Danio rerio: one gene and its partners. The protein of the gene in region 2 interacts with the protein of the main gene of each other region in a pairwise test. Links are inferred from orthologs where the notes say so. Each region holds a gene or a part of one and is shown on either strand. Other genes may lie near its edges.

Region 1 (3,665 bases), on a different chromosome or scaffold from region 2:
GTCAATTATGGCTTTCATTTTTTCACCAACCTGGTTTTTCCCCCCTCAGGTTTTGATGTGGCTAAAACCGGTGATGCCCGAATAGGTTTTGTGGGCTTCCCATCAGTAGGCAAATCCACTCTTCTGAGTAACTTGGCTGGTGTGTATTCTGAAGTGGCTGCCTATGAATTCACAACACTGACAACTGTACCAGGAGTGATCCGTTACAAAGGAGCGAAAATCCAGGTGAACCATTTTGCAGTAGTCCATTACATACCTGATTAAGTTGCGTTTGGACAGTGTTGAAAGGTATAACATGATTTAGTGATTCATCATTTTGTAAAGTAGGTGTACAACCTTGCTGAATGACTGACATAAATGATGCATTCTGAATGTAAGGTCTATCGTTTTAATGGTGTGTTTCTTATTTTCTTTGTTAGCTTCTGGATCTCCCAGGTATCATTGAGGGGGCAAAAGACGGCAAAGGAAGAGGACGACAAGTCATTGCTGGTAATAGACTGTTAACACAGATAATAACAAGACACTTGTAGTGCAGTTCTGTTTTTTTAATTGGCATTTCCCTAAACTTTTCTTCATTCCAACAGTTGCTCGCACTTGTAACCTGATTCTGATTGTCTTGGATGTACTGAAGCCCCTCGGACACAAGAAGCTTATTGAACACGAGTTGGAAGGTTTTGGTATTCGGCTCAACAAGCAACCACCAAATATTGGCTTCAAGAAGAAAGACAAGGGCGGAATCAACTTCACTGCCACTGTATGACTTCAGTGTACTATTAGCTCTTTATTGCATACATTTACACACTTGGGTATTAAAAAGTTTCAAATGTTTGTTGATGTAAAGTTAATATAATTATATGTAATGAAATAATATTACAAAATGCATTTTTATTAGCTTTTTTTCTCCATTTTTTAAAAATCAATATGTCTATCATTGCAGTTATAATATTTGTCCAGTACTAATTTCCAAATTACATAATCTAATACACTGTTCTTAATTTAGTTGTAAGTAAATTATGGCTATATCAGTACTTTATTAATTAATATTGTGAAATATTAAAGGGTTTATTATCATTTATATTACATTATTTATAAATGTCCTTTTGATACAATGATTTTATCTATTTTTTTACCAAAGTTTAATTTTACATTTATCATTTGAAAAGCAATTTGACTTATATGTATATCGTAAAAGAGAATACACATTTTTTTGACACTAATCAGTTTCTCATAACATGAACAGAATTGGCATATTTTTTTTATAATTTTTTTAATCATTTCATTAGTTTTAGCCATATTGTTAATGCCTTTTTGCTTGCCTCAGCATGTTCGCTTCCATCTTTTCTTTTCTTTTTTTTTTAAATGTTTTTATTTGTTTTTTCTTTTTTGACATACACAAAACAAAAATACAAACACAACATAAAATGCCTGACACAAAACACAACTGCATATACTAAAATATACATATGGCCAAAGCCATAAGCTATTATGTTATAAACATTACAATATGGCAGGAAGAGTGAAAAGTTTGATGAAAACAGAAAACAAGAATGAATGTCTATACGGACATTGTCATTCCGAGTTTCAAAATGTCACATAAAGCAAGGTTTATACTGTCCAGATATGGTGTCCAAGTGCGAATAAATATATCAGTTGTGGAGTGGCTTAGACATGTTAAGTATTCCAGGGGAATAATCTCTTGAGTTATTGAATGCCATCCTCTTAAGGAAGGGAGCTTATCATTGATCTATGACATCAAAATGTTCTTCCTGACAGCAAAAGTTAACAGGCAGAGGAGTCGTTGTTCATACTTGTTCCTGATTAGTTTGCAAGGAAAACTCAGAAGAAGGGACAAAGGGTTTTATATCTATGTCCAGTCCAAAAATATTGTTTATTTTGGCTACAATTCTGTTCCAGTAGGCCAGAATCACATGTGCTTCCATCTTTTAATGTCTGTCATTCATCAGATAAGTTGTGTTTGCAATTGTCATTGTGTCTTTCTGTTTTAGTGTGCCCAAAGTGAGCTGGACGGTGACACTGTCAAAAGCATCCTTTCCGAGTATAAGATCCACAATGCAGATATTACCCTACGCAGCGACGCTACAGCCGATGACCTTATTGACGTGGTGGAGGGAAACCGGTAGGAGCAAATTCTCAACCTCAATCCTCAAGCGTTCTCACTTCAGAAGAGATTTTCACATGCTGGTTTTCCTCCTCTAGGGTTTACATTCCCTGCATCTATGTCCTCAACAAAATCGACCAAATCTCCATCGAGGAGCTGGACGTTATCTACAAAATCCCTCACTGCGTGCCCATCTCCGCTCACCACCGCTGGAACTTTGATGACCTGTTGGAAAAGATCTGGGATTACCTGCAACTAGTGCGCATGTGAGTTACCTTCACTGCATTCTGGGAGCAATTTTTTACATGACAGCGGAGTTTGATGATTTTTCACTTCGTAAAGCAGTGGTCACCAAACTTATTCCTGAAGGTATGTGTCCTGCAGATTTTTAGCTCCAACCCTAATCCAACACACCTAAACAAGCTAATTAAGGTGTTACTAGGTATACTTGAATCACCCAGGCAAGTGTGTTGAAGCAAGTTGGAGCTAAACCCTGCAGGGACACCGGCCCTCCAGGACCGAGATTGGTGACTTCTCTTGTTAAGAAACACTACAGTCCTGTAGTACATATTTGCGTATACCTAAAAACTGAACACATAATTCACATCCATATGACATCATAGTGTAAACTGCAAAAAACATCTAATTGTGAAAACTGAGATGATAAAAGTAAAAATGGAAGAATCAAAGCTTTAAATCAACCGAAACAATTGCTTGGTGAAATGATTCAGTGTTTCAAAGTGTTCAGTGTTTTTTGAAACGCAACATCCTGGCGCCACCTGTTGGTCAGTCCTCTAAATGCATCTCAAAAACCTCTCATTAAAGTGGACCTATTGTGCAAAAATCACTTCCATAAGGAGTTTGGGCACAGTTATGTGGCAACAGTGTGTGAATATAGCCAGCTTCAAATAAAAAAAAATAATAATAATTACCTTTTTTATTATCACACTTGATAAAAACTTTGAGCATGTCATCAGGGAGGAAAGCCCCACCCCATGGTGTCAATCTGTCCTTAGTGACATAAACAGCCCTGAGTGAGAAGCAGCTGTCCACCATTAGTGTTTTCACCATACTTGCTAAAGATAATGTGAGCGACTAAGAGACATTTTAAATGCTGAGTTTTGGGATGCACAAATGAACACTGTAGGCTCCATAGACTGCCTCCTCCTTAGCCTTCAGTCATTGATAGAGAGAACATTCATTCTTTGAATCTGCTTCTATGCTAAAGCATAGGTGTTTGCAGCTCAATGTCATTTGAGTTTAAAGAGAGAGCCACCAAAACTGCACAATTCTGGTGAAAGCCTGAAAGTTTCAGTTTCAAGGAGTTATAAAATACGATTCGTTAGGTATTTTGAGCTAAAACTTCAAACACACTCTAGGGACGTCAGAGACTTATTTTGCATCTAGTAAAAAGAGGCTTAATAGCTCCGCTTTAAATCATCTGCAAATGTGTAATGATCCAAGATCAGCACAGACTGTAAACTCTCAGTAATGTACTATACTATTTCATTATACCTGAATGATTTATAGGCTCACAGAGATTAAC
Region 2 (2,361 bases):
GGGCAAAGAACTATAATAACACGCTGTAACACTCTGATATATTTCAAGCAGTGCCCTACAAAAGATTAATGTTCAATTCAATTTAAAAACAAAAGAAATCACCTGCAACTTGGATGTCTTAAAATTAAGAATTAATTAATGATTTTTTTAAATATTTTTTTTTGGAACATTTTGATTTTGAATAAAGCCTGAGATTCACCCAACAAAATATGTAAAATAAAAAAACAGTATTATTGTAATTAGAAGTACAAAATCAGGATTGAAACAAATGATACAGTCTCATATTTGACCAAAATTGTAGAGTTTTTTTTACTGGCTACATTTATTTTGGCTGTGGTGTATTCCCGACTAATAATGTCCATTAGATAGAGCCTCCAGGATAGATCGGTTGGGTAAAGTATCCCTTTAAAATGATCTTCTCATTGTCTCCTGAATTTCATGTCATAGATCAGGATAGTTCGTACACTGAAAGGTGAAAAAAGATTATTATTAAAACAGACCTTCTCAGCTTCTTCGGCCTCCTTTTGTTTTCTTTGCTTCTCCTCTTCTCGTCTGCTTTTGATCTGGTCGATTATTTCATTTAGTTTCTCCTGCACAGCGGTCACTAATGTGAATATCATCACCATTCCTAGATTTTCTTCGGCCTTCAAAAAAAAAAAAAAAAAAAAAAAGAGGTTGTTAATAGCCTTTGATTAGTCTCAACCCCATTTCATGCAAACAAAGGCAACTGGAAATGCTTCTGCGCTTTTACATTTTTGTGTGAATTAATAAAAACAGTACTAGTAGTAATACTAGTAGTATTCCTTACATTTATATAGCACTGTACTGGACACTCAACGCGCTCAACACATTAAATAGAGTCAGGCCGACATCTCTCATAATTCCGATAAGTAGCCCAAATTGTCTGTCAGCAAACTGCACAGCCGTTTGTATGCAGCTTCGCTGTATGTGCATTGTGCGTTCATGAGAGAGAGATCGAGAAAAAACGGGAGAGAGAAGGAACGTGCGTGCGATCTGTAAAAACATGCTGAATCAAAACTTTTTAAAAACCTGAATCAATATTGGAGTTACCTTGGCACATTGGAGAAAGGGTGACACCATGGCAGAAGGATTTCTTTTAGAAGGGTAATGTTCTGTTTTAAAACAATTTTAGCTTCACACAAAGCTGATGTACGTTAACGTTAGATGATGTTGTTACAAATGGGTTATCTGCACAGAAGTGTTGTTCAGCCACTAAGATCTTCTGGATTGATGATTGATGTGACTGTTTTCAGTTTCATAATGTCCTTTTACAGCATCGATAAAGTAGATTTTAATTAGTTTTCATCAAAACAAGTAAATAGCGCTATTCCGCCTAGCCTGCTTTACTGAGGTGAAGATGGTTTTATATTCACATCACATTGGTTCATTTTTGAAAAATGATGACCTGTGACCCGCTCCTTATATTGTTTACCATGCTTTTCTGAATATTCGCTCTGAAATAGCATGTCAGTTTAGCTTAGTGATGAGTGTAATTCCTGCTTGCCGTTGCTTTTAACACAGAGAGAGAGTTCTGGGATCTTTCAGGTGTGTGTGCTCAAGCTTCAGGAGGCGTGGCTCAGGCTGGCAGGGGAGGGACTTTGATTCAGAGATTTATGCTTAGCTGTTAGCATTGTGGAAGATCACCTACTGCACCTTTAGAACCTACACAGACCGCAGGTTGAGTACCCCCTGCTGATCTCACTAACACCACTTCCGGCAGCAACCTAGCTTTCCTATGTGGTCTCCCATCCAGGTATTGACCAGGCGCAGCCCTGCTTAGCTTTAGTGGGCGACCATGTGAAAGTTACAGAAAGCTAGCTGCCGGCTGATGGGAGTGTTGTGTTTTTTTTAATGGTCTGCCTGGATTAAAGCTTTAATGATGACAAACTCTCTTATATGAAAACTGTTGTGCTAACACCCATGACTCTGGTGCTTGTTTTGATCAACCATGTGCTGGGTTCTAAAAGGTTATGTTTGGTTTATAACAGAAGCTTTAAAAACAAGCCATCGGACACTATTTTAAAGTGAAAAACCATTGCAAATGTTTCAGTTTGTGGGTAAACTATCCAATCCCGTTTTATATATTCGGGTGAAAGAGATTCATTCACCTAAAACAACTGACTTTTTGATGTGTAAATTAATGTAGATAAAAATGATACTTAGGTTGGTATATGGCAGGGGTGATCAACCCTGTTCCTGGAGATCTACCTTCCTGCAGAGTTCAGCTCCAACCCTGATCAAAAACACCTGAACCAATTAATTAGAACTTGAACATCACTTGATAATTAAAGACAGGTGTGTTTGATCAAGGTTGCAGCTAAACTGTGCAGGAAGGTAGAT
Region 3 (3,438 bases), on a different chromosome or scaffold from region 2:
ATAACTGGAAAGATCTTAAATTGTTGACTAATGAACCCTATTCACAAATCTGTTACGATGCATTTAATGGTCCTTAAATTTTTTAAATAGACAAAAAAACGTATGAACATTTATATGTATATTTAAACATGTATTATATCATCTTTGCATCAAATTACAAATAACCACCTGAGTTGAGTGTCTATGTGGGTAAATTTGACGTTGTTCTCTCCTCTGGCTGTCGATATTAGTCTCACACATTATGTTTTTCCTTTTTCTGAAAGTCTTGATAACACTGTCGTGAAGTTTTTCTTTTATTTAAGCAGATGAGATTAAAAAAATAATCTGATGTAACTACTCTCCCATTCACTGTGCTCTTAATTGACCAAACTATGATGACTTCCGCTACTGAAAAACGCGGAAATGTGTAAGGGTCTATTTTGATCTGTTATTTTTTATGTGATGCGAAAGATTACACATTACTTCTTTAAGTATGACTTAAATTAAGATCAAGAAGTGACTTTTGACAATTTATGAAATTATAGGCTGTTCTCAATGATACACATTGTGCATAGAGTTGTATAGAGTGGAAAAATCTAACCATCTATACAAAATCCACAAATTCATGTGAAAACCCTACAAATGCCTTAAAAACAAAAAAAATCACATTGATTCTTTTATTTTCAAAAATACTTCAAATAATCAGTTTCTCTCCAGGTTTAAAATACACTTGAAGATTTTGTTTGTAAAAACAGATAATCCCACATTTTTAGTAATTTTCAGATTTTTGTTTTTTGTTTACTGCATTGTTTTGTTTGTTTGTTTGTTTGTTTGTTTGAAAAGCACAACTACAAAACACATGGAAATTTCTAAAAATTGGACTTTAACAATATCCAGAAATCAAGTTTTTACATTGAGTATTGAAGAGTACAACTGCAAAATAATAATAATAATAAAAATAATAAATCTTAAAATTTCTAAATATTGTGGCTATCTGTTTTTGCAAATAACCCTAAACTTTAAATCCACAATTTGCCAATTTGTCATGTATTTTTACTGAATCCCAGTGTGCATGCCTAACTCAGTTATTTAATAAAACACTTTTTATTTACTTATGAAAGGCAAACAAGAATCTGAAAGTTATTTATTATAATGGGTTTTGTCAGGTGATTTTCATAAACTAACTTTTCAATTGTCGATATCACAGGTGAAGCTGCTTGAAACATTGCAGCTGTTAACAGAAAACGTATCCAATGTTCTGTTGATACTGTAGTGGATCTGGAGACGAGATTTTATTTCTTCACAATTTGAATGACATCCTCGTGCTCCATGATGTGGGTCAGTCCTACTCTCTGAGGACTGTACTTTGTGCTTGTTCCCTGTAAACCAAAAACACAAGAAGTAGTTTAGGAAGACAAACATGTATGGGACATGAGCAAGAATGTGTTTCAGATGAAGGGAGCTCTTACCCAGACAAGTGCATACTTGAACTGGCTAGCTAACGTCCGGTGGATTCTGTGACACTGGAATACATAAGAACCAGAATCAGCATTATCAAAAGCTTCATTGACCTGATTCTGCGAGTTGGCACAACCATTTGAATCTTTTTAGATCTAGACTTCCGGTCTCATTCATTCCATTAATTTTAAGACATTAATCACAGCTTGTTATGCTGCTTGATTTTGCAAACTGATATTTTCTTATTATATTATTCTGCTTGGTCTGTAAAGTCATGAACACACTTGTTTGTTAAGCAAGTAGTTTGACCATATTCTGCTGTCTATTACTCCAAGTCAATTATCTCATAGTCAACTGAATCAGAAGTTCTAAAACAAATCGCAAAAATTAGCACATCTCCACAGTCAGCCATAAGGTCAATTGCTAATAATGTTCTCAGACAAAAGGAAGTAAAAGGTTAAAGTAATAACTTCTGTCTTTTAGCAGATATGTATAGTAGATATCTTATGAGAGATTTGCTTTGTTTACCAAGTAAGTGGATCTAATAGGATGTGCATGGTAAACATTAAATAAAAGTTACAAATTAATTTTTTTGTCATATGTTAAGTTTTTAGTTACGACACTCCCAAAATCATTCTGCATAAATCCGCAGATTTTTAACAGAAATAGCAAAAAACGTCTGCAGATTCTGTCTGCCCTACCAATGACTTAGCTAATTCAGCTAACTTGCTTAGTTAACCTTATTAACCTAGTTAAACTTTTAAATTGCATTAAGGTGAAAACAAGTATCTTGCAAAGTAACTAGTGAATTATGTACGGTCATCATGGCAAAGAAAATAAATAAATTATTAGAAATTATTTCTTAAACCTATTATGTTTAAAATGTGTTGGGGAAAAAAAACTTCATGTTGACAAATATTAGAAAAACAGAACTAACATTACATAGGAGGGCTAACCATTTTGTCTTTTATTGTATTTCATAATATCAAAGATCAAAGGCCCATTTTGGTATCCCCTCAAAAAAAATTTTCAAAAGTGACCGGCTTGTAAATGTCTTGTGAAAAATAGATCAAAATGTGAGTAAACAGTAACACACATTCATGTACAAATTAAACAACAGTATTTCTAAACTGTACTCATTAATATACAAAAGAACACATTATCATAGAAAATTCGATGACTTTCATATAAATGCGCGCACACACACACACACATACACACACACACACACACACACACACACACACACACACACACACGCTTTGACCAAAAAAGTCACTATATGTATTTAAGCAAGCAAATATGACAATCTTTATTACAGTTATTAATAAATTTCTGCATTAATATATAGAGTCACAGGGTTCATATTCGGAAAGGTGGCTTCATTTTCACATTTGAATTAACCACCAAATGTCCTGAATGCCACTGAAAGTCTAGAGTTATATAAAGAAAGTAGATATGTATAGACGTACCACATGTTTAACTGATGCTGCTCGTCTCATGATTATAGGGTCACCGAAATCTGGTCGTTCTACACAACAACAGAAAATACAGTCAGATTAAGAGGCAACAAAAACAACCACTCAAACATATATACAGTTATGGCTTTTAACTTAGAGAATCAATTGAAACATCTACAAAAAGGATTTTTCAATAAAAAAAACTCTCTTAATCATCACCTTAGTTACAAAAAAACAAAAATATATAGACTAGCAGTTAACACTATTGTATTAAAGCCTTTAGTCACTTCATAAAAACACTGTATGGTGATGAATCGAGGCACTTCTTTATAAATACCATAACGTCAGGTCTTATTTAGGAAATTAAGAATTGCTGCTAGGTCAGAGGTGTCCAAACTCGGTCCTGGAGGGACGGTGTCCTGCTGAGTTTATCTCCAACTTGCTTCAAAGCATCTGCCAGAAAGTTTGTAGTATATCTAGTACTAGCTTGATTCACTTGTTCAGGGGGTGTTGATTAGGGTAGGAGCTAAACTCTCCAGGA

Evidence for each region.
Region 1: the proteins of rwdd1 (region 2) and drg1 interact in binary tests that used the Homo sapiens proteins (3 or more experiments, as listed by UniProt). The two-hybrid records come from large-scale screens. The link is inferred for Danio rerio from reciprocal best matches to the Homo sapiens genes RWDD1 and DRG1.
Region 3: the proteins of rwdd1 (region 2) and drg2 interact in binary tests that used the Homo sapiens proteins (3 or more experiments, as listed by UniProt). The link is inferred for Danio rerio from reciprocal best matches to the Homo sapiens genes RWDD1 and DRG2.

The regions. Positions count from the first base shown.
Region 1 is NC_133185.1:22,540,150-22,543,814, forward strand, and holds part of drg1 (developmentally-regulated GTP-binding protein 1), read left to right. Parts: intron 1-49; coding exon 50-225; intron 226-419; coding exon 420-489; intron 490-584; coding exon 585-754; intron 755-2,006; coding exon 2,007-2,137; intron 2,138-2,217; coding exon 2,218-2,385; intron 2,386-3,665. UniProt on the Homo sapiens protein: Catalyzes the conversion of GTP to GDP through hydrolysis of the gamma-phosphate bond in GTP. Appears to have an intrinsic GTPase activity that is stimulated by ZC3H15/DFRP1 binding likely by increasing the affinity for the potassium ions.
Region 2 is NC_133191.1:35,399,741-35,402,101, forward strand, and holds part of rwdd1 (RWD domain-containing protein 1), read right to left. Parts: intron 645-2,361; coding exon 501-644; intron 1-500. UniProt on the Homo sapiens protein: Protects DRG2 from proteolytic degradation.
Region 3 is NC_133178.1:39,100,825-39,104,262, forward strand, and holds the end of drg2 (developmentally-regulated GTP-binding protein 2), read right to left. Parts: intron 2,969-3,438; coding exon 2,910-2,968; intron 1,503-2,909; coding exon 1,449-1,502; intron 1,359-1,448; coding exon 1,272-1,358; 3' UTR 643-1,271; downstream 1-642. UniProt on the Homo sapiens protein: Catalyzes the conversion of GTP to GDP through hydrolysis of the gamma-phosphate bond in GTP. When hydroxylated at C-3 of 'Lys-21' by JMJD7, may bind to RNA and play a role in translation.